5 linked regions of the Canis lupus familiaris genome follow. The protein of the gene in region 2 interacts with the protein of the main gene of each other region in a biochemical or structural test. Links are inferred from orthologs where the notes say so. Each region holds a gene or a part of one and is shown on either strand. Other genes may lie near its edges.

Evidence for each region.
Region 1: the proteins of YWHAQ (region 2) and MARK2 form a complex in vitro, tested with the Homo sapiens proteins (2 studies listed by BioGRID, with this or other methods). The link is inferred for Canis lupus familiaris from reciprocal best matches to the Homo sapiens genes YWHAQ and MARK2.
Region 3: the proteins of YWHAQ (region 2) and CDC25A form a complex in vitro, tested with the Homo sapiens proteins (2 studies listed by BioGRID, with this or other methods). The link is inferred for Canis lupus familiaris from reciprocal best matches to the Homo sapiens genes YWHAQ and CDC25A.
Region 4: the proteins of YWHAQ (region 2) and PRKD1 form a complex in vitro, tested with the Homo sapiens proteins (2 studies listed by BioGRID). The link is inferred for Canis lupus familiaris from reciprocal best matches to the Homo sapiens genes YWHAQ and PRKD1.
Region 5: the proteins of YWHAQ (region 2) and BAD form a complex in vitro, tested with the Homo sapiens proteins (2 studies listed by BioGRID). The link is inferred for Canis lupus familiaris from reciprocal best matches to the Homo sapiens genes YWHAQ and BAD.

Annotation. Positions count from the first base shown.
Region 1 is NC_049239.1:53,629,223-53,634,183, forward strand, and holds the start of MARK2 (serine/threonine-protein kinase MARK2), read right to left. Parts: upstream 3,221-4,961; 5' UTR 3,192-3,220; coding exon 3,084-3,191; intron 1,316-3,083; exon of another isoform or gene 910-1,315; intron 1-909. UniProt on the Homo sapiens protein: Serine/threonine-protein kinase. Involved in cell polarity and microtubule dynamics regulation. Phosphorylates CRTC2/TORC2, DCX, HDAC7, KIF13B, MAP2, MAP4 and RAB11FIP2. Phosphorylates the microtubule-associated protein MAPT/TAU.
Region 2 is NC_049238.1:6,670,093-6,674,331, forward strand, and holds part of YWHAQ (14-3-3 protein theta), read right to left. Parts: intron 3,090-4,239; coding exon 2,966-3,089; intron 595-2,965; coding exon 431-594; intron 218-430; coding exon 122-217; intron 1-121. UniProt on the Homo sapiens protein: Adapter protein implicated in the regulation of a large spectrum of both general and specialized signaling pathways. Binds to a large number of partners, usually by recognition of a phosphoserine or phosphothreonine motif.
Region 3 is NC_049241.1:41,230,421-41,235,181, forward strand, and holds the start of CDC25A (M-phase inducer phosphatase 1), read left to right. Parts: upstream 1-1,541; coding exon 1,542-1,711; intron 1,712-3,100; coding exon 3,101-3,174; intron 3,175-4,345; coding exon 4,346-4,388; intron 4,389-4,761. UniProt on the Homo sapiens protein: Tyrosine protein phosphatase which functions as a dosage-dependent inducer of mitotic progression. Directly dephosphorylates CDK1 and stimulates its kinase activity. Also dephosphorylates CDK2 in complex with cyclin-E, in vitro.
Region 4 is NC_049229.1:9,459,484-9,464,499, forward strand, and holds the start of PRKD1 (serine/threonine-protein kinase D1), read right to left. Parts: upstream 3,221-5,016; coding exon 2,954-3,220; intron 1-2,953.
Region 5 is NC_049239.1:53,288,003-53,292,867, reverse strand, and holds the start of BAD (bcl2-associated agonist of cell death), read right to left. Parts: upstream 3,221-4,865; 5' UTR 3,216-3,220; coding exon 3,029-3,215; intron 1-3,028. UniProt on the Homo sapiens protein: Promotes cell death. Successfully competes for the binding to Bcl-X(L), Bcl-2 and Bcl-W, thereby affecting the level of heterodimerization of these proteins with BAX. Can reverse the death repressor activity of Bcl-X(L), but not that of Bcl-2.

The DNA of each region.
Region 1 (4,961 bases), on a different chromosome or scaffold from region 2:
GTAGTCACACTCTTCCCTCTACCTCTGTCCTCCCTGCTCACAGTAAGATAGGAACACCAAACATTCTCAAAGCCCACAGCACACCACAAGCTAGCCCTAAAAACCTGAGGAAGTCTGTTGCAAGTTGACAGCCCGACTCTCAGGCAGCCTTCAGAAAGAACAGGGGGTCGCCTTGTGAGGCAGTATTTGGAACCAACAGCAGACTACACAGGTGACTTAGCAAGCCTGACTCAGAAGCAGGACCTGAACAGCTTTGGAGGCTCAACAGAGAGATGGAACATAGGACCCGGGGAGAAGAGAAAGAGCCTTCTATCCAGCAGGCCCTTCAACCTAGGATCTCTAAACTCAGCCTCAGGCGTGTTGCCAGGTTTGCCTGGAAGACAGCCTCCACCCCAGAGGCCCAGTGCTGACTCAGGTAGGTAGGGCTCCTTCCCTAACGCTGGGGGCTCCTACTAACAGTTCTCCCCTAGAAAAGCTTGTGTGGTGGGACTCCGCATTCAGGCCTGGACTTAAGTGTCCTGAGACTTCCCCAGGGTTGGGAGGAGTCAGGCAGGTACTCCCCAGCCAGAGGCACAGTAAGCCCAGGCACTGTGGGAAGAACAGGGTCCCTCGGGTGCTGGCTCCGGGCGGCCACCCCAGATCCGAGTCTCCCCTTACTGGAGCACTGGCACGCCCTCCCTGGGCCTCCATTTGTCCCCCCCGCCCCCACTCTGGGTGTGACTGCTGATTCAACCTATGGAGACTCTTCTTCCGGTATTTGCCCCCTCTTCCTTTCCCAGCCAGTGCCTCTTTCCATGAATTTTACTACCTGTGCTAGCGCCTGGCTCCATTTAGCACTTCTTTAAAGATCCTGTGTTTGGGTGGTTAAGAGGAAGGGGCAATCTCACAGCAGAAAAGGGGAAAACATACCCGGCTGGAGAAAGGGGCAAGGACTACCAGCAACTTCCATTCAGCAGAGCCCACAGCAGAACCTGTCAGGCAGCGAGGGCAAAGTACAGAGGCCAGGAAGAGCCAGGCCCAGGGCGGGGGCTGCCGGCTCTGCCAGCCACCCTTACTCAGCCGAAGCAGGCGACACCTTCCACCACCTCCTCAGTGAAAAACAGTGAAGCAGCCAGGCCCGAGAGGCTCCTGCCTGGGAACCTGGACTGTGTCGCAACCGAAACCACCACTAGCAGAGAGAGACCAGGCTTGGCAAGGAGACCGACAGGGACAAAAAAGCCCCACGGCTTCCCACAGGCCAGGGCCTGGTGGCCAGAAAGTGCATGCGGTCCCAGGACACTACAGGAGTGAGGTGGGAGGAAAGGGACAGGAGGCAGTGGGGAGGGGGGAGAGGGAGAAGGAGAGGGAGAGAGAGAGGGAGAGAGAGAAAGAAAGAGAGAGGCGGGTTTAAGATCAACTTCCTTTTCCCTCCCCCTCTCCGGAAGTGGGCTGCCCCACCCTCCCAAAGGTGCTTTGCTGGGTAACAGCTGGGAGAGGGTGAGGAGACAGGGCTGTCATAAAGTCCTTATCTCACCTGCAGCAGGTGGGACCTGGGTAGGGGCTCCAATTGGCTGGGAGGAGTATGTGTGAATCAGGCCTGCTAACCCTTGCCAAAGACCAGCAAACCACCTGAGAACAAGGCAGGGGTTAAACAGAAACCAGCAATCCAACAGTGGCAGATGGACCTCCTGCCTCACAAAAAGCAGTGTTTAACTTAGAAAAACGCACATTCCACTTATACACAAAATATTGGGGACATAACTTCAGGGAAGTCAGGAACCCTTTAGAGGTCAATGGGTTCTAGACTAAAAACTCTGGTCACCACAGAATGAGACATTTAATCCTAAAACTCACCCTAAAGATGGGAAACCAAACAAATGTCCCTCTAAGTCCCTTCCGGCCCTGATTCTGGGAGGCCAACCCTTGGTTCTTGTCCAACCTCCAAGCAGTCTCCATCACTCCCCCTCCCACATCACTGCTTTAAGAACTCTGAGGGCCGGGGCCAGCAGGGATGCTGGTCCTCATGCCTTCCTCCTGCAAAGCTTTCCTGTCTGGGCATCTGCTAATTTGGGGCTACTGGAGCCCTCCCTCGTCTGAGTTCTGTGTGCCGGTCATGCCTTTCTTCTGGCTCCCAGATTTACTTTGACTTCATCCTATTTCTCCAGGCTATGATGTTTCCCACTAAGCAACTTTTTTTTTTTTTTTTTTTTTAAGATTTTATTCACTTATTCATGAGACACACACACAGAGAGACGCAGAGACATAGGCAGAAGCAGGCTCTCATGCAAGGAGCCTGATGCAGGACTCAATCCCAAACCCCGGGATCACACCCTGAGCCAAAGGCAGATGCTCAACCGCTGAGCCACCCAGGCGTCCCACCACTAAGCAACTCCTGAAAGGTCTCACGTTGGTAGGCCATCAACCCATCTAGGGAAGGGCAAAACGTCCTGTGTGCCCTCCCACCACCTGAGCACGGATACTAGGGAGACCATGCTACTCAGTATTCATCTTACACAGGAGCCCTGATCAACAGATTGGACGTTCCTGACACTACCTTCTGCAGCCCCGTATTTCCTATGTTCTCCACACCTGCAGGGAGCACCCTAATATTACACATAAGAAACTGAATCACAGAACTGGGATCGGAGCCCAGGGCTTTCAAGTCCAGGTCAGCACTCTGCTGTTCCTTGAGGCCTCCTTTGCTGGTACCCACCCTCCCAAAGAAGATAAGGAAGTGGAGAGGGGAGCAGGGTGGGGGAGTGGGGAGATGCCTAGGGCAACAGGAATGCCTGGTGTCTGGCTCAGGCCTACATGTAGGGCTGTTGTGAGGACATAACCGGGAGGTCCCACAGCACGTCCTGCTCCTCTATCTCTCTCCAAAGTGGGCCCCCATCTCAGTGCAAGAGCTGAAAGCTTATTCCAGACCCTGGGCTCAGGACTGTCTGTGATCACCTTCCCCTTCGCTCAGAGGCCAGAATAGGATCAAATGGCTTCATTTTTCCAGTCCCTAGAGTTTTGCAATGTAACAGAAGGATTGTTTCCTCAATCCTGTTTGTGGGAATCAGTAAGGGGTTTTGTAAACTGAGGAAGTACTAAGCACTGACCTCAGAGAGGCTGGGGAGAAATGGGTATGGCTGAGCTGACAAGTCATGTGGCTGTGGCAAGTTCTTTAACCCTTCCTCCTTCACTGCATCCAGGAGACCTTTTTGCATCCTTTAATCCTGAGCAACTGTCACTCTCAACTGCCAAGAGTCAACAAACCAGAGGAGCATTGTGGGTAGGAGAGATCTTGTAAGGCTGTGGGAAGCACTAACTGGTAGAGAGCTTGGGTGCAACCTCCCTGCACTCAAAATTAGCCATGGTGGCTCTGCCTGGGGGACCCCCCACCCACCTTCCCTTAATACCCTGGTGCAGAAGGGAGGTGGGACTGTGTCAAAGTGTCAGAGCGCTGCTCTCTCTTTGTAGCCGGGGCAGGTGCTCCTCCCCGACAGAGGAGAACTGCAGAGCTGGCAACTGAAGCCCAAAGAGTGGTAGTTCACTGCCTGCTAGCTCTTTGAGCTGCAAGCCTCACCTGAAGGCAGAAGCCAGCATGTGTCTGGGGGGACCAGCAGACAAGACCTGACCTGGAGTGAGACCAGAACCGATCCAGCACCTCCAGCTCACTCCCCTTCATGCATGGAAGCCACAATGCAATAAGTACTTCTCAAAGCTCCGGCCTGTGCAGCTACTTGAAATGCTGGGCTCTTCCTCAAACAGGACAGATTCTACTGAGCAAGCAGAGCTTTACCAGCTTCTAGTACCATTTCATCCCTAAGAATCTGCTCACTGGGGTCTGGTCTCTATCTCAATTCCCAATTACTGTTGCCAATTCAGCAAACCTTTGTTGAGGGCCTACCTCTGGAGCCAGGGCCAGTTTGCAAAGTTCAGAGAGATCTGGTTTCTGCCTTCTAGAAACTCAGAGGAGGAAACTGTATATTATATTAGACGCATCACAGTTACCTCTGCTTACTTAGTAAGGGAGGCAGGATAGCACGACAGAGCTCTGGAAGCAGACGGCCCTGGGGTGAGAGCCTTGCCTTTGCTCCTTACTAGTTCACTGAGCACGACCAAGATTCTTTGACTTCTTTAGCGCCTGTTTCGTTATTTGGGATATGTGGACACCAGCTGTACCCACTTCACAAGATCGGCATGAAGACGAAAGGAAGAAACGCACCCCAGTGTGGACCGCAGTGTCCGGCGTGCAGTAAGGTCTCAACAGTGTTTCCTAAGATCTTGCTTCTCTTTCAGATAGGAACCTGCTTCCCATTAAGGGGTCCTCTGAGCCCAGAGAAGAGCTATTATCTCTAAGAACTTGACTCAAAGCATCAGTGGAGTGAAGCTAGTACAGGGAAAAGTCAAATTTCTACCATGGCTGGGCTGTCAGGCAAAAAGGACCCTCTTCCCTAACCTAAAACCAGCCATGCCTCTGGCCTCTTAGCCCAGAGGAAGAGGAAGGTGTGCCTGCTTTTTCTCTTCCTCGTGGGCTCCTTAACTCCTTCCTCCCAGAAAAGGTCTAAGAAATAGCCGACATACCAGTACCACATGGTGCCAAGGGCTGGGGGAAGCTCACATTGCCAGCCTCACACTCCATTCGGCGCCGCCCCGTACCAGTGGGTTACTGTAACCATGGAGACCAACAAGTTCCTCCATATCACAGGAGAGAGGCTGCCAGCAGCCCAGGGCTCTGGGGGAGGCAGAAGGCAGCCTGCAGCAAAAAGGTTTGGCTCACTTTACAGAGGATTGTGGGATATTGATGAAGACTAACCAGTGCAGCTGAGGTGCCTGGGCCTCCCTCTTCCTTCCTTTTCTATGCCTCTAGTTTGTGTTTTTATTTAGCACACAGTCTGGCTGTCTATGGTGCAGTAGCAAAGCGCATCACTCTGGGGTCACAGATCAGCAGCTGGACCCTAGCTCTACCACTCTGCCTGCCAGGTAGGGAATGG
Region 2 (4,239 bases):
TATACTCGTTTTCTAAGAGAAAGTGTAGCTCTTACATAACCACCCCAAATGATAGGAAGACTGAACTAAAATAGAAGTACTTTTATTCTTAAAAATAAAATTAAAAGAACGAACAACTCACTGTTAGGTTGTCTCTAAGCAATTGCATGATGAGGGTGCTGTCTTTGTATGAATCTTCATTCAGTGTATCAAGTTCTGCAATGGCCTCATCAAAAGCCTGGTAAATATTAATATCCATGGTAGATATTTGCATCAAAACAAACTGCATTACTCTACAACTATAAACCATTTTTATAAAATAGGTGAACATCCACTTTATGTTCTACTATCAATTAAAATAAAACTCAATGGAATCATTTTCAGATTCCCAGTTTATGACAATGACCCTATCAATATGAGTAAGAACATATAAGAATGACCCGAAACTTACTGTTTTAGCCAGAGTGCAGGCAAGCTCTGGGTTATTAAGGATCTCGTAGTAAAATACAGAAAAGTTAAGAGCCAGCCCCAGGCGAATGGGGTGTGTAGGTTGCATCTCTTTCTTGCTTATATCAAAAGCCTCTTGGTAAGCTCCTTGGGAATTATCTATCGTTTCTGTGAGGGGGGGGGAGAGACAAAAGAAGCACAATACTGAAAATATCCATCAAGTATACAGCATATTAACCTTTAACTTATGCTACTACCTCATGCAGAGCTGGATTTTTCTCTGTGGCCTTCCTTTAAAACCATAGTAGCAAACTGAAAACATTACCTCATACCAGCTTATGGAGAAACTAGTTTATAATGTTGCTTTTTTTATTTTTTTAAAGATTTTATTTATTTATTCATGAGAGACAGAGAAAGAGGCAGACACACAGGAAGAAGGAGAAGCAGGCTCCCTGCAGGGAGCCCAATGTGGGACTTGATCCCTGGACCCAGGATCACGCCCTGAGCTGAAGGCAGATGCTCAACTGCTGAGCTACCCAGGCGTCCCATGTTGCTTGCTTATAATCAGCTTTAAAAAACCCAATATGAGATAGTGCAATTGGATTTTTCCAGATCTGTGACTCAAACAATTTTCTTTTTCCGTATCTTTTAATTTTACTAATTGGAAATGCAGCAATTAAAAATAATTTCACCGATACACGTCAATAATACTTCAATAAAGCTAGAAAAAATTTTTGGCTATCTCTTCTCAAAATCATGAAAACACTTTACAAAGATCATACCACCAAAATCTCTTTTTTTGTGACTTATTTGTAAAAACAATACTAATCCTTGGTATCAAGATGTATTATGTAAAAGGCAATATAAAAGTGTCAAAATACAAAATAAAATCTGCTCTGACAAGAGATTGATTACTGGCCTAATAAAAAGGTTACCTTCCTGAAAAAAGCTGTTCAGTGATTGTTACCAATTCTAATCTGACTATAGCCATGCTTTCAAAAGAGTAGGTAGGTTTTCTCAATGAGACCACTGGCCCATTACAGCTTTAGAAATACTCCTCTAATAGAAATGTAAAGTTAACCTTTTTATGGCCTGAATATAAGGATTTTTCCTTCTTCAGAAATGGCACACTTATTAATCTAAATATAGCTGGTAGAGCCCTCACATAGTAAGGAGTTCTTGCTGTTTGGCATTTAAGGAAGTACTGTAATGAGTAGCAGTAAGGGGTCTCAGCTCCTAAGCTGTAAATACAGACTATGAGTCCCAGTCTACCGGAGTATTCTATGGATAGGGATAGAAATGCCAGGAAGCTAGAAAGGGTTAAATAAGATTAATGCTGGGGCTATGTCCCAGTCTCCCAAAGATATCCTTGTGACTTGCAAATATCTGTTACTTTCAGCTTTGCTTATCTTTATGACAACAGAAATTATACATCAATAAGTTTAGTATACAAATTGTTACAGTAGGATGCAATAGTTTTCTCTTTGTATCTTCAATTACACTGATATTTGGGGTGGTAAAACTGTTCCACTTTCAGTTAGTACCTCTTTGAGGGTAGGAAGCCACAGTAACTACTTGAAAAAGTACACTCTTTTTGGATGGGGCAAAATTAAAAACAAATTAATAAACCTACCAGAAATAAGGAATTGGGTGAAAATTCTAACTAGAATTTGATAAATATGATAGCAGGCACATACACAAAATTTAATAGGACCTGACTTGTACTCAGCTACTAATACTCCAGGAGGCTAAGTCCACTAGTAATAAATTGCTTTGATTTTCTTTTTACAATCAACTCTAGCAATTCATTTATTCTCTTTCCCAGATCTATATTTTCTATGACAAACTATATACCAGCAAAACTCTCACTCACCTCTCTTCCTCAGAAATTTGGTCTTGTAAGTATTGGTAGTCAATGTAATGATCCTTCAAAATAGGTAGTTAATAAATTGTCAAACAGAAAAAGCATAACATGCTGTTTCTATATTCTCTTTGTAATTTCCAGTAAGTTTCAAGGTACGATGACACAAAAGGCCATGTAACAGCACAAACTCTCAAAGCATATGCAAATAACTAGGGGGCTAAAAAATATGCTTCACCAAACTCTAAAGTATAAAAGAGTAATAATAAGCCTCTCTTATTTTTTCTTTATTATTATTATTTTTCACACTGAGTGTGGAGCCCAGCATAGGACCTGAACTCACAACTGTAAAGATCCAGATCTGAGCTGAGATCAAGAGTAGGAAGCTGAATGACTGAGCCACCCAGGCGCCCAAGATTAAGCCTTTTAAATAATATCTTAGCAGATTATCACCAGAATTTGAGTTTAATTTTTCAAAAACAGTACATTATGTAAATTCATGGCTATTTTCATTTTTTAGAACATTAAGGTCACATTACATTAATTTTATCGTATGTAGATTCCAAGATTTTTTAAAAAGTTACAGAGGACCTGGAGATTACATAGCGACTACTGTCACAGTGTCCCACTTATCCTCCCTTCCTTTTTTAACTTTACCTATAAACCAAACATACTTACGTTTTCGATCATCACCACACGCAACTTCAGCAAGGTACCGAAAATAATCTCCCTTCATTTTCAGATAGAAGACCTTACTCTCTGGATTAGTTGCGTTGGCTATTAAATACTTATCCAACAATTCCTGAAAAGAAGGAAGATAAAGTATTAGGTACCAATAAAAAGCTATTTTATTACAGGTAAGCACAATGAAGGACTACCACAGTAACTACAACCATTCCACCTTGGACTTGAAGCATGGACTGAGAGCAGGGGTCATGTAGTTGTCATCAGTTGAATGCTTTGGCCTATAGCAAGTCATAGTTTCTAATAAAGCTAGGTTACATCAAACACTAAATATAAAGAGCTTGTCTATTCACTCATCCATTCATTCAAGTAAGCATTTCTTGGTACTGGCTGGGTGCCAGGCACTGTATTTGGCCAGAGGGGATATAAAGAAAACACAAAGTTCTTGCCCTCAAGGAGCTCACAGTCTTAAGTAAGATACAGAAACATTATCTTGTTTATCCTTTATCTAGGATAGTAGCACCACAGAGAGAGCATCTGGCTGTGCTAGAGGTGGCCACTAGCTAAACAGGATTTCCCTGAAGGGATATTTCTGACTTGTTAAGAAGGAACAGTAGGAATGTATCAGTTCAGAAATGTGCATGTGCAATCAGCTTTTTTTTAGTTTTACATGTTTGTGTGTTTGTGTGTGTATAAGTTATCTCTGCACTCAACGTGGGCCTCAAACTCATAACCCCCAAATCAAGAGTCACGTGCTCTACTGACTGAGCCAGCCAGGCACAATCATTTTAAAGAAGGGAAACAAAATGTTTAAGACATCAAGTATGAAGAATATAATCACAGAACAAGTAAGTCAGCATGGCTCAGAGCAGGGCTGGCTGTTCAGTGTCTCTTACAGACTACTGCTCATCCAAAATAAGGGTAAATACAGGGATCAAGAGAAAGTACTTTAGAAACAATGACAGTCATGTCTACTGAATAGAATTATTTGAAAAAATATTGGGTTAGTAACTAAGTACGACTTCATTCCCTATTTTATTCAAAGAAATGTACCCTTGGATCCAATGAGCTAGTAGCGCTTCTCAAACTGAGGGATTTATACAAGATGTGCCACAAGAATAAAAAGTCACAGAAGAGGGGGTGTCTGGCTGGCTCAGTGGGGCATGCAACTCTTGAACTCAGGGTTTTGAGTTCCAGCCCCTGCACTGGGTGTAGATATTACTTAAAAAGAAAATCTTCTTAAAAAAAAAAAAAAAAGTCACAGAAGA
Region 3 (4,761 bases), on a different chromosome or scaffold from region 2:
AGCCGGTTAAGTGTCTGCCTTCTGCTCTGGTTGCTCTGGTGGGACCCAGGTACAGGGATGGAGATCCGCATCAGGCTCCGGCTCTGCCGGGAGCCTTGCTTCTCTCTCTCTCTCTCTCTTTGTCAAATAAATAAAAATAAAAATCTTAAAATATATATATATATATATGGTCACCTATAAAATGGGAACAATTTCTCCCCCTCAGGGTTGTAAGGATTAAATGAATTAATACAGATAAAGCACTTGGAACAGTGTCTGTCACATAAATACTATATGTATTATGTATTTATGTATTACGTATTTATTGTATTTATGTTGTTGCTGTCTAGGAGCTCCCAATAGGGTAAGGGTAGAAACGAAGGAAATGGTTCTGAAAAAGTATGGTATGAGCTTAAAACGGAAGTGAGCAATGAATGTGGAGTCCAGCAGCCTGCAGTGCAGGGCTCGAGTCTTGTGTGTCCGTGGCTAGCACTGCAGGAGCCTTAAGCGCTTCGTTGTTGGGGCCTAGAGGTCACAGAGCCCAGTCGTTGGGTCATTCGGTTCCTACTCTTCTTACAAAAATTGGGGCCTGGAGGCCCGGGAGGAAGGGAGAAGGGGCCTACAGTACCGCACGGTTATAGGTCGAGCCACGGCTGGACCCCGAGTGGGCAGGACAGCTCTCTCCAGCCTGCGCGTCCCCTCCGCGTGTGGACCTCAGGGAAGGGGGTGGCTACGCAGTCGTGGCCCTCCGCGGGTAGGAGGTTCCCGGGCCACGGTGCGGGTTGGGAACTACGCTCCCCAGCATGCAACGCGGCAAGAGAGGCGTCTCGGTCTCTACCCTCGCCTCCCAGGTTCTGCTGGGAGTTTTCATTGACCTCTGAGCCCCTATCCATTCGGATCTGCTCTGGCCTCCTCTCGGCCCCGCCCCTTTCAGAAAGCGGATGACCCCTCAGAGCCCCGCGAGCTGCTTCCTTCTTCCCCTCTCATTGGTCCAGCGTAGCTGCCTTTCGGGAGCGAGGAGGCGAAGTTGCTTACTGATTGGTGGATTCCGTTTGGCGCCAACTAGGAAAGGGGGGCGGGGCAGCGGCGGTCCCTAGTGAGCAGCTATTACCGCGAAAGGCCGCCTCGGCAGCGACAGTCCGGAAGAGAGGTGAGACTCCTCTTGGTGCTCTGCGACCCCGGGTTCGGGCAAGGGGGTGAGAGAAAAGTGAAGAGAGTGTGAGCCCTGGCCGTTGCCTTGCGGCCCTGGCCGCTTTCTCTTCCCGACCCGACGCGTTTGTTTGGATTTAATCCTCAGGTTGCCGGCGCCCGCCCGCCCGCTGGCCTCGCGGGGTGCGGGGGAAGCACCCGTGCATGTGCCTGGCGCCTGCTGGGTTTAGACACCCGCCCGTCCGCGCCGCTTGCCCGCGGCAGCCGCATCCCTGAACCGCGGGGTCGTGTTTGTGTTTGACCCGCGGGCGCCCGCGGCGGGGCGCGCGGCCGAGGCCGGTGCCGGCGGGGCGGGGCGGCGCGGCGGAGGCGGAGGAAGAGGGAGCGGGAGCCCTGGGAGGCCGGGTGCCGCCATGGAACTGGGCCCAGAGCCCCCGCACCGCCGCCGCCTGCTCTTCGCCTGCAGCCCGCCTCCCGCGCCGCAGCCCGTCGTGAAAGCGCTGTTCGGCGCGCCAGCCTCGGGGGGCCTGTCGCCTGTCACCAGCCTGACGGTCACCATGGACCAGCTGCAGGGACTAGGCAGGTGAGGAGGGACTGGCGAGCGGTGCCACAGGCCGCTGGGCTCCCAGATGGCTCTCGGTGGGGCGGGGGCGGGATCTGGCTGGGAAACGGGTCCGGAGCGGGGCGAGACCTGCCCGCCGCTCGTGGGCCGCCCCGCTGAGCAGGGGCCCGCCATGTGCACCCTCCCCCCCAGGCGGAATGTTGGGCGGGAGAGGCCGTTCGGACCCTCCAGGGCCGCCCTCAGCCCCGAGCCGGGCCCGGTAGGGGGTGGGGTCGGCCCGGGGTCCCCACTTAGGCTACCCATTTCAGATTGCTTTGTACTCTCCTTCTGTCCCAATCCAGGGAAGTTCTTTGTAATCTCCCCCCAAGAGGGCAAAGCAGACCCTTCAGGCGCCTCACTTCCACCCTTTCCTGAACCACTTCGCAGGATCTTAGCTTCCTGCGAGCTTTGTTCCTTCTCTACAGAGACACATGGCATTTTCTTTCCTGTCGTTTGTGCAAAATCCTCTTCGTTCCTCACCACGTGCACATTCCTGATGTCCACCCCTGCTTTCCTAAGGCAAGGCCTTTTTATTCAACTCTCCATCCTCAGAAGCTCCCTGGACTTTTCCTTCTAGCAAAACCTGCATCACGGTGTTTCTGGTGGGGTTGCTTTCCCTTCGATTTTGGATGTCCCATTTTCTTTGTAAGCACATGTCTTGTACATTTCTAACCTCTGAAAAGCAGGAACTTGTCCAATTTATCTTTCATCCTAGGAGCTAGAACACATGCTCTCCCTTCAGAAAATACTCCAGCATCATAGTCCTCTTGCCTACAGTGTAACCCAGGCCATGCCTTCCCACCACTTTTGCATCTTTTATTTTCAAGTGCTGAGTGTTTTGGGTGGCAAAGTGGGTTCTGTGATGTGGCCCAGAAGTAGATGATTGATAGCAGCCTGGATACTTGCCTAACCTCGTGGCCTGTCTCCTGTGTGTACTTGTAGTTATGTTTTGGAAATAGAAAGAGGGGCAGCTGGGTGGCTCAGTGCTTGAGGTGCTCTGCCTTTGGCTCAGGTTGTAATCCTGGGGTCCTTGGATCCATCCACATCAGGCTCCTCCCTACAGGGATCCTGCTTCTCCCTCTGCCTGTGTCTTTGCCTCTCTCTCTCTCTGTCTCTCATGAATAAATAAATAAAATCTTTTTAAAAAATACATAGGGATCCCTGGGTGGCGCAGCGGTTTGGCGCCTGCCTTTGGCCCAGGGCGCAATCCTGGAGACCCGGGATCGAATCCCACGTCGGGCTCCCTGGTGCATGGAGCCTGCTTCTCCCTCTGCCTGTGTCTCTGCCTCTCTCTCTCTCTCTCTCTCTCTCTCTCTCTGTGACTATGATAAAAAAAAAAAAATTACATAGAGTTCTTTCTCTTGCTTTCAGTGAATATGAACAGGCGCTGGAGGTGAGAAACAGCAGTCTGCAGAGAATGGGCTCTTCTGAGTCAACCGATTCAGGTATTCCTTTAGTCTCTACCATTTATTATGTGTTTACTGTGTGAGGATCAAAACTTGGAATGTGTTGTGAACGTGTGCCCCACCTAGGAACTTAGTCTGGTGACTACCTGAGACAGTAAATCAGAGTCATGGCATTCAGTAACCAATACCCTTAAAATAGGCCAGATAAGGCCCTATGGTAGTTTATGGAGGAAACCAGCGTCAAGTGTCTGCATGGAGGTAGAGTGTGCTTGATCTTGAGGATGAGTAGGTGGGTACAATGAACCATAACACCAAGACCAGAAAGGTGTATTGGTTGAAATGCAGGGCCAAATTATTGAAAGTGTGATGACATTGTTTCAGTGAGCCTGCGGTGGAGGAGATGGGCCCAGTGCATTTTACTCTAATTCACAACTTCATGCTACTGCAGGGTTTATATTTGCACAGATGCTTTAGGCTAGGGAACTACAAGAGCAAAGATCTTAAAATGGAAACTTCTTAAGAACTAGGGATAGGATTCTTGTGGCAGCATGGCAAATGAGAATATCAGAGCTAACACTTGACTTTCTGCAAAGTTATGTGGATCTCATGAGGAGAGGTGTGCAGTAGGCACACTCGTGGGTCTGGGCCATACTGAGAGCAGTGTGTCTTCCACCTTGCTCCCTTTGGTGAGATGAGCACCTTACTTGGTGTTATTTTGTTAAAGGCCATGAATACTTGGCTTGTTTGTCACATGACTGATAAATGTATTTTTCAAAACCCCCAAATTAAAAAAAAAGAAAAAACCCAAATTACACATATGATCTGACAAGATAAAATATTTGAAGTCAAAACTATTCCAGAAAACAGTTACCTATTCTTTCCATAGTCAGAACTCACAGAAAGTTACCTGGGTAATCTCTATTTGAATAACCAACCATTCATTAGAAGATTATGTTTAATTCTCACATCCTGTTCCCTTGATGGTATTTGCAAATAGGTAAAGGGGATTGGTAGAAGATATACTATGAAAATGTTGAGACTTGTGCAAATATGAAGTTTTTGACAATTAGAGACACCACTTTAATTCTGGCAAAAGTCCAAGGTGTGAGTTGATTGATGGCTTAAAGAAAATACTAATAGTATTTTTGTTTATTTAATGACAAAGTGGTGTTTTGTGTATTATTTCCTGAGGTTTTTTTTATTTCCACAGGCTTCTGTCTAGATTCTCCTGGGCCCTTGGACAGTAAAGAAAAGTACGTATTCACTGCTTTTTAAAGTTTGTGCTTAGAAAAGACTTTTCTTAATTTTTTATTGAAATTCTTTGTGTTCTGGACAGGAGCCCTGGATTTAGCTAACCCTAGTAAAACTTCTGGATCCTATAAATAAGTCTGCCTTTAGAGAAAGTAGTTTGTGTTAGTAGTCTTTAAGACTTCCCGTCCTTTAAAAGAAGACCAGGCTTGCTCATTTTACCCAGAAGCCCAGTAATGTTGGGGTGCTTGTGAGAACAGGACAGTCTCAGAAACCTGTACTTGCATCTTGCCTAAAATGGGAATGTTTGTGCCCTCCCCAAACTATAGGCTAGACACTGCATCTGCTAATATTTCTCTTGTTTTAGTCTCATTGTTT
Region 4 (5,016 bases), on a different chromosome or scaffold from region 2:
ATGAATGTGGAGGGCTTGGAAAATCAGAACCTTCTGCTGTAAGCTAGACATGACTCTAAGTCTACATCATAAATTGTAAATGACTTCAAACTCTCAGCTCTCACCTAAAACATTAGTTTCCCTTCCTCTCTCTCTTTTTCCCTCTTGTCATCCTTCTTCATGGTTGATACCTTCAGCAAGTACTTAAGAGAACCTGAAATAAGGGACAAAAGCCTCCTCCCGTTTCCTTAATTCAGTACTACTGACCCTGTCCACCATATCCACTCTCACAAAGCAGAAGAGATCCTTGCTATCCTGTGATGGACATTTAGTTCTCTTCATCTCGTTTCTGCCTCGGGTGATAATGTATCTCAAGACAGATGACAGAAGACAGACAGATGGAAATTCTTCTGCCGAGACCCACCATCCAGCAAATATTTATACAAATAACCCACAAATCTGCATCTCTAAATCCAATTCTTTGTCATAACCTCTAAAGAAAAAAAAAATTACGAGATAGTTCTTTACCTTGGCTACCTCAAGCCTTTAAACTTCTCAAACTCTTCTTTCAGAAAGAGAACAAGGGTAAATACAAAAGGAAGGGGTTCCTCATTATAAATCAGCCACCAAGGCTGAGGATTTTCCCTTTTCAGTACTTTTCCAGGTCTCTCCCCAGAGTGTTGGTTCAGGTCTCAAGTAGCTCATGACTGAACTCGTTTTCTTTCTACCATAACATTTTTGGCATTCAAAAACATCTTCCCACAGAGCAAATCCATCTTTCAGATGTTCTTGGTTTGATATCTCTATATGGAAGATTACTGAGTCTTCTAATAATTTGAGATCTTTTCAGTTGTACTTTCTATAAATACCCTACTCACCACCCTCAGGCCTACTGCAATCCGCAGGTGCTTGGAGACTCTCTCCTTCAGTACTTCTACCGGGCCCTTCATATAACATCCCTCTTGGTAGCTACTGAGACAACTGCAGTTCACTTTCGATTCAAAATCCCAATCCCCAAAACTCCTGAACCACTAATGTTTCTCCCCATCCCAACCTCCATCAACAGGTGTGATCGTGTGTGTGTGTGTGTGTGTGTGTGTGTTTCAGCTGGTCAAAAACAGCCTGTCCATATTAATCTAACTCAATTTGGATATTCCTTGTAACTCTATCACTTGCTGTAGAATTTAGGTACATTAAAATTCTACACAATTGCATTAGCTTTTTTTTTTTCCAAGACTTTATTTATTCATGAGATACACAGAGAGAGAGGGGGAGGGGGCAGAGGCACAGGCAGAGGGAGAAGCAGGCTCCATGCAGGGAGCCCGATGTGGGACTGGATCCCGGGTCTCCAGGATCACGCTCTGGGCTGAAGACGGTGCTAAACTGCTGAGCCACCCAGGCTCCCCTGCATTTGCTTTTTGAGAAACTTTACTATACACTGTATTTACACTTATCCAGTAATACTCTTTAATCAACTGGTTTTGCACCCTAATAGAGATTTGTAGGCAATTTCCACTCAGGGAACACGTTTCGGTGCCTAGGAAAGCGTTCACGTTCACCTGCAACAAATATTTCATAATATTGATGAGGAGGCACATGATGGGCCTTATACTAGAATTCAAGAGAATTTGTCATTTACATGGAAGGTGAAAGAGATGGAGAGTCATATGCAATAGAAAATGTCACCACATTCAATAACCTAAAAACGTTTGACCCTCACTACTGCCTTGGCTGAGCCTTCAGAACTTTTACAAACTCCCTAGATTACTGATTCTTCCCTGGGGCTTTTCCCTGTATCCCTGTGCTTGATGCCACAATCAACAACACTTGGATTTAGCAAGCTCTGCTTCAAATACCTTAAAGAAAACATTCATGATTATTTAAGTGACTTTCATAAGGCAAGTACTAGCCAGGCCTCCAGGGCTGAAATTCAGCACCTTTAGAGACCTCTGTCCCCACCCCCCTAACCCTGCCTGTTTATACTGAGAACCCTGGCGCCACGGCCTCCTCTCCTTCACACTCTTATCGCCTCTTTCCGTGCAGCATCACCCTGGATGGCTACGGAAACAACCTGAAATTCACAACAGCCCTATAAACAGTGGTGGGCGTCGGGGGGGGGGGCGGATGGGGGGGTGTCTCCTCCCTGGGTGGCCTGGCCCGGGGTAATGGCCCTTTTTCCAACCTGCCTTTTTGGGACCGCTGTCCAGAGACCCACAGCCTCCAGCTTAAGGGCACAGCCAGCCCTGGGGTGCTCCTGGGAGTGCCCCCACCTTTTATGTGTCTGTGCCTGCACTTCAGTGCCCCACTATCAGTGCCTCGGGGCTGAAAAATGTGCTTTCCCGTCCACACAAAGGTCGGACGAAAGAACCACAAGGAGGTGAGTGGTTGTGGTCCGGCCCGTTGTTTTCACAGCTGGCTGAGTCAGTCAGCCCCCTCTTAAAAGGTAATTTGACAGGTGAGAAATTCCTCATCTCTAGACGGTTCCAGGGACTCCTCAGCACCGGTCTGAGCTGGGAGAGGGGCCTGAAGAGGAGGGGAGTGGTGCTGGAATCGTGGGGAGCGTGTCCCGGGGGAGAACTCCGGTTGGGGAAGGAGGATCCCGGCGCCAGGAACGTGCCGGTCCGGGGTCCGGGGTCCGGGGTCCGGGGTCCGGGGTCCCGGGGCGGGGGGGGGCGGGGAGCCGGGCGCCGGGAGCAGGGAGAGGCGCTGAAGGAAACGGGGCAAGCGACATACCTGGAAACGTCCTGGGAGGAACGGGAACGGATGGGTAAGGAGGCGGCGGGGCGCGGAGAGGTGGGGCAAGGGGGGACCCGGCCGCAGGGACCGCGGCGCCTCGGGTGCCGGCGTCCGGCCTCGGCCGCTGCCAGAGCTTCCAGGGCGCCGGCGGGGCTGGCTCGCGGCCGGGCCCCCGGGCCGGGAAGTCGGCGCGGCGAGGGGCGCCGGGACGGGCAGCGCCCCCTGTGCGGCGCCTTACCTTCTGGTCGACGATGGAGCAAGCCATCTCGCGGACGTGCGCCAGGCTGTAGTCCCCGGACGAGTCCTGCAGCAGCAGCACCGGCTCGCGGCTCAGGCCGATCTGCAGATGGAACGAGACGCCCCCGGCCGGGGCCGCGGCGGGAGCCAGGAAGGGCGCGGGCCCCGGCCCGGACCCCGGCACCAGCGCGGCCGCCGCCGCCGCCGCCGCCGCCGCCGCCGCGGGCAGCAGCGGGCTGGGCGGCCGCAGGGCCGGAGGGGCGCTCATGCTCGGCGGGCGCGGGCGGGGGCGCGGGCGGGGGCGCGGGCGGGGGCGCGGGCGGGGGCGCGGGGCCGGCGGCCGAGGGCGGGCGTCGGCGGAGCGGCGGCCGAAAAGTTTTGCTGCCGCGGAGCCGGGAGCCGCTTTCCCCAGGAGCCGAGGCGGAGAATAAAAACTTTCCGGAAAAGTCCCCGCGCGGGGGGAGGGCGAGAGGATGGGGCGCGGGAGGGGCGCGGGGGAGGGGCAATGGCCGAGGCGGGAGAGGACTGCGCCGCCGGGAGCGAGGGCGCCGCTCGGGGGAGGCGCCGCCGGGGAGCAGCCGGCCGGCGCGCTCGGGGCCCGGGGCGGCGGGGCCGGGCGGCGGGGCCGGGCGCCGGGCGGGGCGCAAGGGGGCCTGGAGGCGGAGACAGCCCCGGCGGGCGGCGGGCGGCTGGAGCGGCTGGAGCTGCTGGAGCGGTGGCCGCAGTAGCCGCAGGGCGCCGGGTCGCCGCCCCTCCGCCCCTCCGCCCCTCCGCCCCTCCGCCCTGGGATCCCTGCCGGGACCTGAGCCGCCCCGAGCCCGGGCGGGACTGAGCTGCGGGCCTGCGGCCGCCTCCGCGGGCGTGGCCCGGCCCTCGCCGTCCCGGTGCGGGCTCGGGGCCCGGGGCTCGGGGCTCGGGGCTCGGGGCTCGGCTGGCCCGGCCGCCCGGCCGCGCACGGGGAGGACGAGGCGCATCCCTCCTGCCCGCTTCCCAGCGCCGCCGGCATCCCCGGCCCCGCGCCCTGGCCCCAGTTCCGAGCGCCCGGGGCCAGCGCCCTTCTGGGGGTGCGGTGACCTGGGGGGGGGGGGGGGAGAACGCCGCGCCCCGCGCTTTTCCATGGGTCTTCCTGCCTTCGAGGCTTCCAGGGAGCGTGAGAACCGAGGGTCCTCGGAAGCCCGCCTACATCCCTCCTCCTCCTGGGAGCCCTCGGGGGTCTTGCCCGAGAGGGCAGGGAGCCCGACCGCGGAAGTGTATTTAAGCCCGTCCCTACCTTTCCTGCCTGAACATCCCATCCCCAACCCCACCTACTGCACCGCAGCTCCCGAGGCGCCAGACCTACCCAGGTGGCCGAATTCGGGAGACGGTCCCCTGACAGAACAGGCATTGTCCACACAGAGGCAGCGGGAAGGTGTGATGTGGCCTCTTCCCCCCGTCCTCGGCCTGGCACCTCTCCTTCTGGAGCCCCAGAAACCCTGGTTGCCTTCTCGTCCCGTCGCTCTAAAGTCGGCCCCGTGGGACTGGCGCTCGCAGCCTCACCCAGCGCCCGCCACCGCCACCGCCACCGCCACCGCCGCCACCATCAAGGCCGGGCACTCTCTGCTCCAATTCTGGTAGTTGCTTTGTTGTTGTTGTTGTTGCTGCTGCTGCTGCTGCTGCTGCTGCTGTTGTTTTGACAGGGGTGAGGAGATGAGTGCTTCCCAGTCTGTGGGGATGAATTCTAATCTTACCCTCCCCCCACCCCCCCCCCCCCCACCCCGGGATGGGCCTCAGGCGTGTGTGACTGTGCGGGTGTACAGGGCCCAGACCTCAGAAGGACCTGCCTTGTGTGATGCTCTGCCCCCAAGTTTTGCTGCCTGCCACCATCTTGGAATTCTTAACAATTGTTCACTTTGCGTTGGGCTGGCCAAATTAGGTAGCCCACTTCTCCCGGTCCATTCCCTTAGGCTGCACAAATGTGCCCCCCCAGACCCGAATATATATGTTTCCTTTTGTATTCAGTTGCGTTTTATTGTGCTTTGGTCTACGTGTGTATGTCTTGATCTCTGCTTTTGACCCAGGACAGGA
Region 5 (4,865 bases), on a different chromosome or scaffold from region 2:
AAGCACAACCATGCAGCCACCACTGAAATTCATGGCCATAGGGATGCCTGGGTGGCTCAGCAGTGGAGCATCCGCCTTTGGCTCAGGGCATGATCCCGTTTGTCTGGGGAATCCAGTCCCACCCTCCAAGGAGCCTGCTTTTCCCTCTGCCTCTCTCTCTCTGTCTCTCATGAACAGATAAAGTGAAATGAAAGAAAGAAAAAAAAGAAAAGAAAAGAAAAGAAAAAAAGAAAGAAAAGAAAGACCATAAAACCCAGTTGCACCCTTGACATTGCCCAGTACACTTCACATGCTCTATGTTTGGGGATGCTCGACTACTTCAAACCTGATCCTTTCTCCTTCAACCCTCTCCTGGAGAACCCGGAAGCACCCACAAGAGAAACTTCTACTACTTCCCATAAAGTATCTACCCAAGACCACGCAGCTATGTCCACCTTCCGGCGTTTAGCTGAGCTAGCCCTCCCCAGGCACCAGACCCCTCCCCTACTCAAAGACATCTCTCTAGCTAGTCTCCCTTCTCTCCTGCCTCATTGGGTAGTTTCCTGGCTCCTGGATTACTCCCATCAGCTTATAGACGGGCTGTTTTCTTTCTCCCTTCTAAAATTAAAAAAAAAATTAAAAATTAAACAACTCAGGACATCTCGTTGTTTCAGCAGTTGAGTATCTGCCTTTGGCTCAGGGCGTGATCCTTGAGTCCCGGGATCCAGTTCCACATCGGGCTCCCTGCTTTTCCCTCTGCCTATGTCTCTGCCTCTCTCTCTGTGTCTCTCATGAATAAATGAATACAATCTTTAAAAAAAAAAATTAAACAACCCTTCCTGGAGCCTCCTTGGGCCTTCAGGTGCTGCCCATTTCTCTGCTCCCTTTTCTGGAACACAGCTGCCAAGATTGGGCTCTCCTTTCTGCCTCCACTTCTCTTCCTGTCATCCCTCCCCACTGAACTGAGCTCAGCCTTCCCTCAACCTCCCCACCCAAACTGCAACAGCCCCGTCTTGGTGGTTCCAGGGCTCTGCTCCCAGTCCCCCTCCAGCCAGACTATTCCCCCTTGCTGCCCAGGCCCTGCCTGCTCCTGGTTTCCCTCCAATCCTGCTAATTCTTTCTCAGTCCTCAATGCTGCCTCTTCCTCTGTTGCTGGCCTGTCTATGCTGGCTCCCCGGGCCTCAGAGAACATTACCTCAGTGATTGAAAACTCCCATGTGTATAAATCCCACCTGGACCTATGCCTACTAGAAACCTCCATCTGGCTGCCCAAAAGGCACCTCTCACCTGCCCTGGCCCAAACAGTTCTGCCATAGTTCCGTCCTTCAGGTGCCCAGGCCAGATTCCTTGCAGCAATCCCTGGCTCCTGTCTTTTCCACCCCTGCCCCCAACATCCAGTTCGTTGGCAGATCCTGCCAGTTCTACCTTCAAAATAAACCCAGAGTCCAGCTATTTACCAACCCCACGGCCACCACCAGGTGCAAGCCACCATCCTTCCTCACTGGGACTCTTGGGGCTGCCTCTCCTGCAGCCCCATGGCTGCTTTTGCCCATTGCAGACTAGTCTTAACTCTGGGGCCCTGGTGATTCTCTTGACCCCAAATCAGACCACCCTTGCCTCTGCTCAAAGCTGTCCCATGTGTTTCCACTCAGAGTGAAAGCCAACACCCTGACACTGGCCTTCCAGGCCCTGCCCAGGGGCTCCTCCCCCCTCCCATCTATCCCTCCCTCCACTTCCAAACTCTCCTCCCCCCAGGGGCCTAGACCGTGTCCTCCCCTCAGGGCCTTTGCATTTGCCCTTCCCTAGGCCAGGATCTGTCTTTTTCCAATGATATGGACGGGGCTCACCCCTCACCCCTTCCAAGCTTTGCTGTAATATTGCTTCCTGCCAAGGCTGACCCTGACCACCCGTTAGAGTCTCCTCCAGCTCCCAATACTCTGGATTTCAAAGAGAAAGTCAATGTTTCTGGCACTGCCACCCAACGCCTGTCATCTTCTAACACATTATGGCATTTGTTTGTTTATGGCTTGTCTCTTCTCACTCTCTCACTTAACTAGAATGTAGGCACCACAAGGGCAAGGGCTTTTATCTTTTTTGTTCACTGGTGTACCCCTGGCAGCTGGGACAGCATGTGGCACAAACTAAGCACTTGATATGGAGGATGAAGAGGAACAGGGAGGTGGGGGGTAGAAACCTGTAGTGAGCAGAAAAACAGCAAGTGCAAAGATCTGGATGTTAAAGGAGGTAAAGAAAATCTGGAGTTCAGTCTGACAAAGTTGGGGGGGGGGCTGGGGGGGCTGGGGGGGGCTGGGGAGGAAGACCCGGTAAGCCTTCCTATTCCTGAAGGTGGGGATGGATGGGGTCATTCAGATTTCAGGAGATCAGGGATACAAGTTTTGTTCACACCAGACCTCTATGGTGGTTCCAGGCGCCCAAACCTGTGTTGGGCACTGGGGAGGTGGGCACTGGTGAGAAATGGCCACCACACTCTGTGCCCATCCTTCCATCTTAGCACTGGGTTCCTTCAGTGGATGTGGACAGGCCCGCTTCCTGGAAGGGCTATCCTTGGAGTCATTTACCCCTGGCAACTGGCAAGGATAGTCCCAGTATGGGTGTGTGCCACAGGGCAAGAAAATACATACCTGGGGCTAAGGTCCAATTTCAGGGAAGGTGCAAAGCCGGGGGCAGGGCACCTTGGAGTCTTCCAGCCCTGGTTCCTACCAAAGGTAATGCCAACCAAGTGTGACCTTAGGCAAGTCATTTCCCCTTTCTGGCTGACTGGTTGTCTCTAGGTGATTTGTGTTCTGGTCCTATGCTAACAGCTACATTCTTTGAGCATTTACTACACACGGGCCCTATAATTGCTTCCTATATAGTTCTACTAATCATCCCAACAGCCCTACAATGGTGGTGATTAATTGCTCTGGTTTACAGAAGAGGAAACTGAGGTGCAGAGAGGTTAGGGACTTACTCAAGGCCAGCGAGTGGGGATGCAGCTAGGATGCAGGGAGCTGTTGGGGCAGGGCAAGGTGGCCAGGCAGGTACCTACCTCCATGGTGTTTGCGGCTGGCTGGCTGCCCCTGCTGGTGACCAGCTTCCCCTAGGAGGCCTGGGGCCGTCTGCTGGTGCTTGCCAGGGCTTGGGGGCCGGTCCCCTGTGGGGCTGGGGCCCAAGCCCCTATTTGCAGGGCTGGAGTCTTCCTGCTCACTGGGCTCAAACTCTGGGATCTGGAACATGCTCTGGGCTGTGGGGGCAAGACAGCAGGTAGTTAGGGCACAGCTGGGGTAAATGGTGGCTAGTGAAGGGAGAGGGCAGCAGATGCCCACCTTAGAACCCCAGGTTCACTCTGCCTCCCGGGCCCCCGTTTGTCCACTGAGGCTAGCTGGGCAGGTCGCTCAGCCTGTCTACCTAAATCTCCTCTTGTGGAGCCCCGGAGCTGTGAAGCGGTTCCAGGTCCCTACCTAGGCCCTGGCCCAACCTGTCCTCGGTGACGGCACACAAGTCTTACCCCAAGCCCGATCTCGAGGCCCCTGACCCGGGCCTGCCGCCTCCCTCTAGTACTGAGGGAGTCCGGCCCTAGTTGCCTGGGTAACGGGAACTGTCACCGAGAGGGCCCAATCAGCTGGTGACACGTCACTAAGGCGGGCCAGGGGGCGTGGCCGCCCCTGGCCCAGACCCCGCCCCCGCGGCGGACCTGCGCCCAGCCCACTGCCGTCGTCCCGGGTCCCTTCCTCTTCTCCCCGCCGCTCGGTTCCTGACTTCCTTGTGCCTGGGTCCTGCGCGGGAGCAGATGAGGGATTCTCTGGGGTCTCCTCTTGGAACCTGGAGACCAGCTTCTGCTGACAAGCCCTTCAGCCCCTTTGGGCCTTAGTCTCCACTCCTGTAAAATGGGGATGATGACATCTCCCTTAGAGGCCAGTGAACTCTGTAAACCGAGTGGCGATTACTGTGGGTGAAAGCACTTTGCAAAGCTGAAGCTGAAGCTCAGCCGTCGGATGCAGGTGTTGCTGCTGTCACTGCTCCGTGTGGACGGGGGAGTCGGGTCGGGAAGTCCCGCTCCCTCCTCCCCACAGTGGAAACCTCGCGCCGCACGCCTCGGGCGCACTACTCCGCGCGCCGGCTCAGGAGCGCTCGAGATAAGCGAGGAAGCCTCCTCCCCGGCAGGATGGCTGTCCCGGCGCGGGAGAGGGGGCCCCGCTGAGGGTGGCCGTAGGACTTAAGGGGGCTTCGCGCAGGCACAAGGCCGGCCAGGTGAGCGGGAACCGCAGCGGGCCGGGGCGTGGGGCGGCCGTGCCTCCCCGGGACTGCGGGGCCCTGCGGGCGAAGCCCAGGGGGCGGGGCCCGGGGGCCATCTTGGCTGCGGGCGGAAGTTTCCTTCGGAAGCCGGTGCGGGGAGGTTGTCGCCGCCCCTCCGCCGGGCGGCGCGATCTCAATTTGGGGATAGGGAAGAGAAGCATGGGAACTGGCGGCCCCGCAAACGAACGGGGGCAGGTGGCCGCGGGCACAGCCCACCCGGATGCGGTTCAGCCCGGGCGTCTCGGCCTCCGCCTGCCTCCAGTAACCCCTGGCGCCCGCCGGCAGCGCACCTTGCGCCAACTCTCGCACGGCTCCGGCGCGAAGCTGCGGAGCTGGTGGGGCCAGACTCTGCGCAATAAGCGTAGCGGACGCCGCCCGCGCAGGCGCAGGCGCAAGAGGGGGCGGAGCAGCGGGAGCCGGGGAGCTGAGGAGCCCTAGCCCCGGGTCCCAGCGACCAGAGCCGGCTCCCGCGGCGGCGTACGGAGGACCCGGCGTCGGCCTCCTCCCGCCCCCCGAGGCTGGAGAGTGGATGCAGCGGGGGGTGGGGAGGGGCAGCGTCCGGAATTCCGAGGACGGAGGGCAGAGGCCAT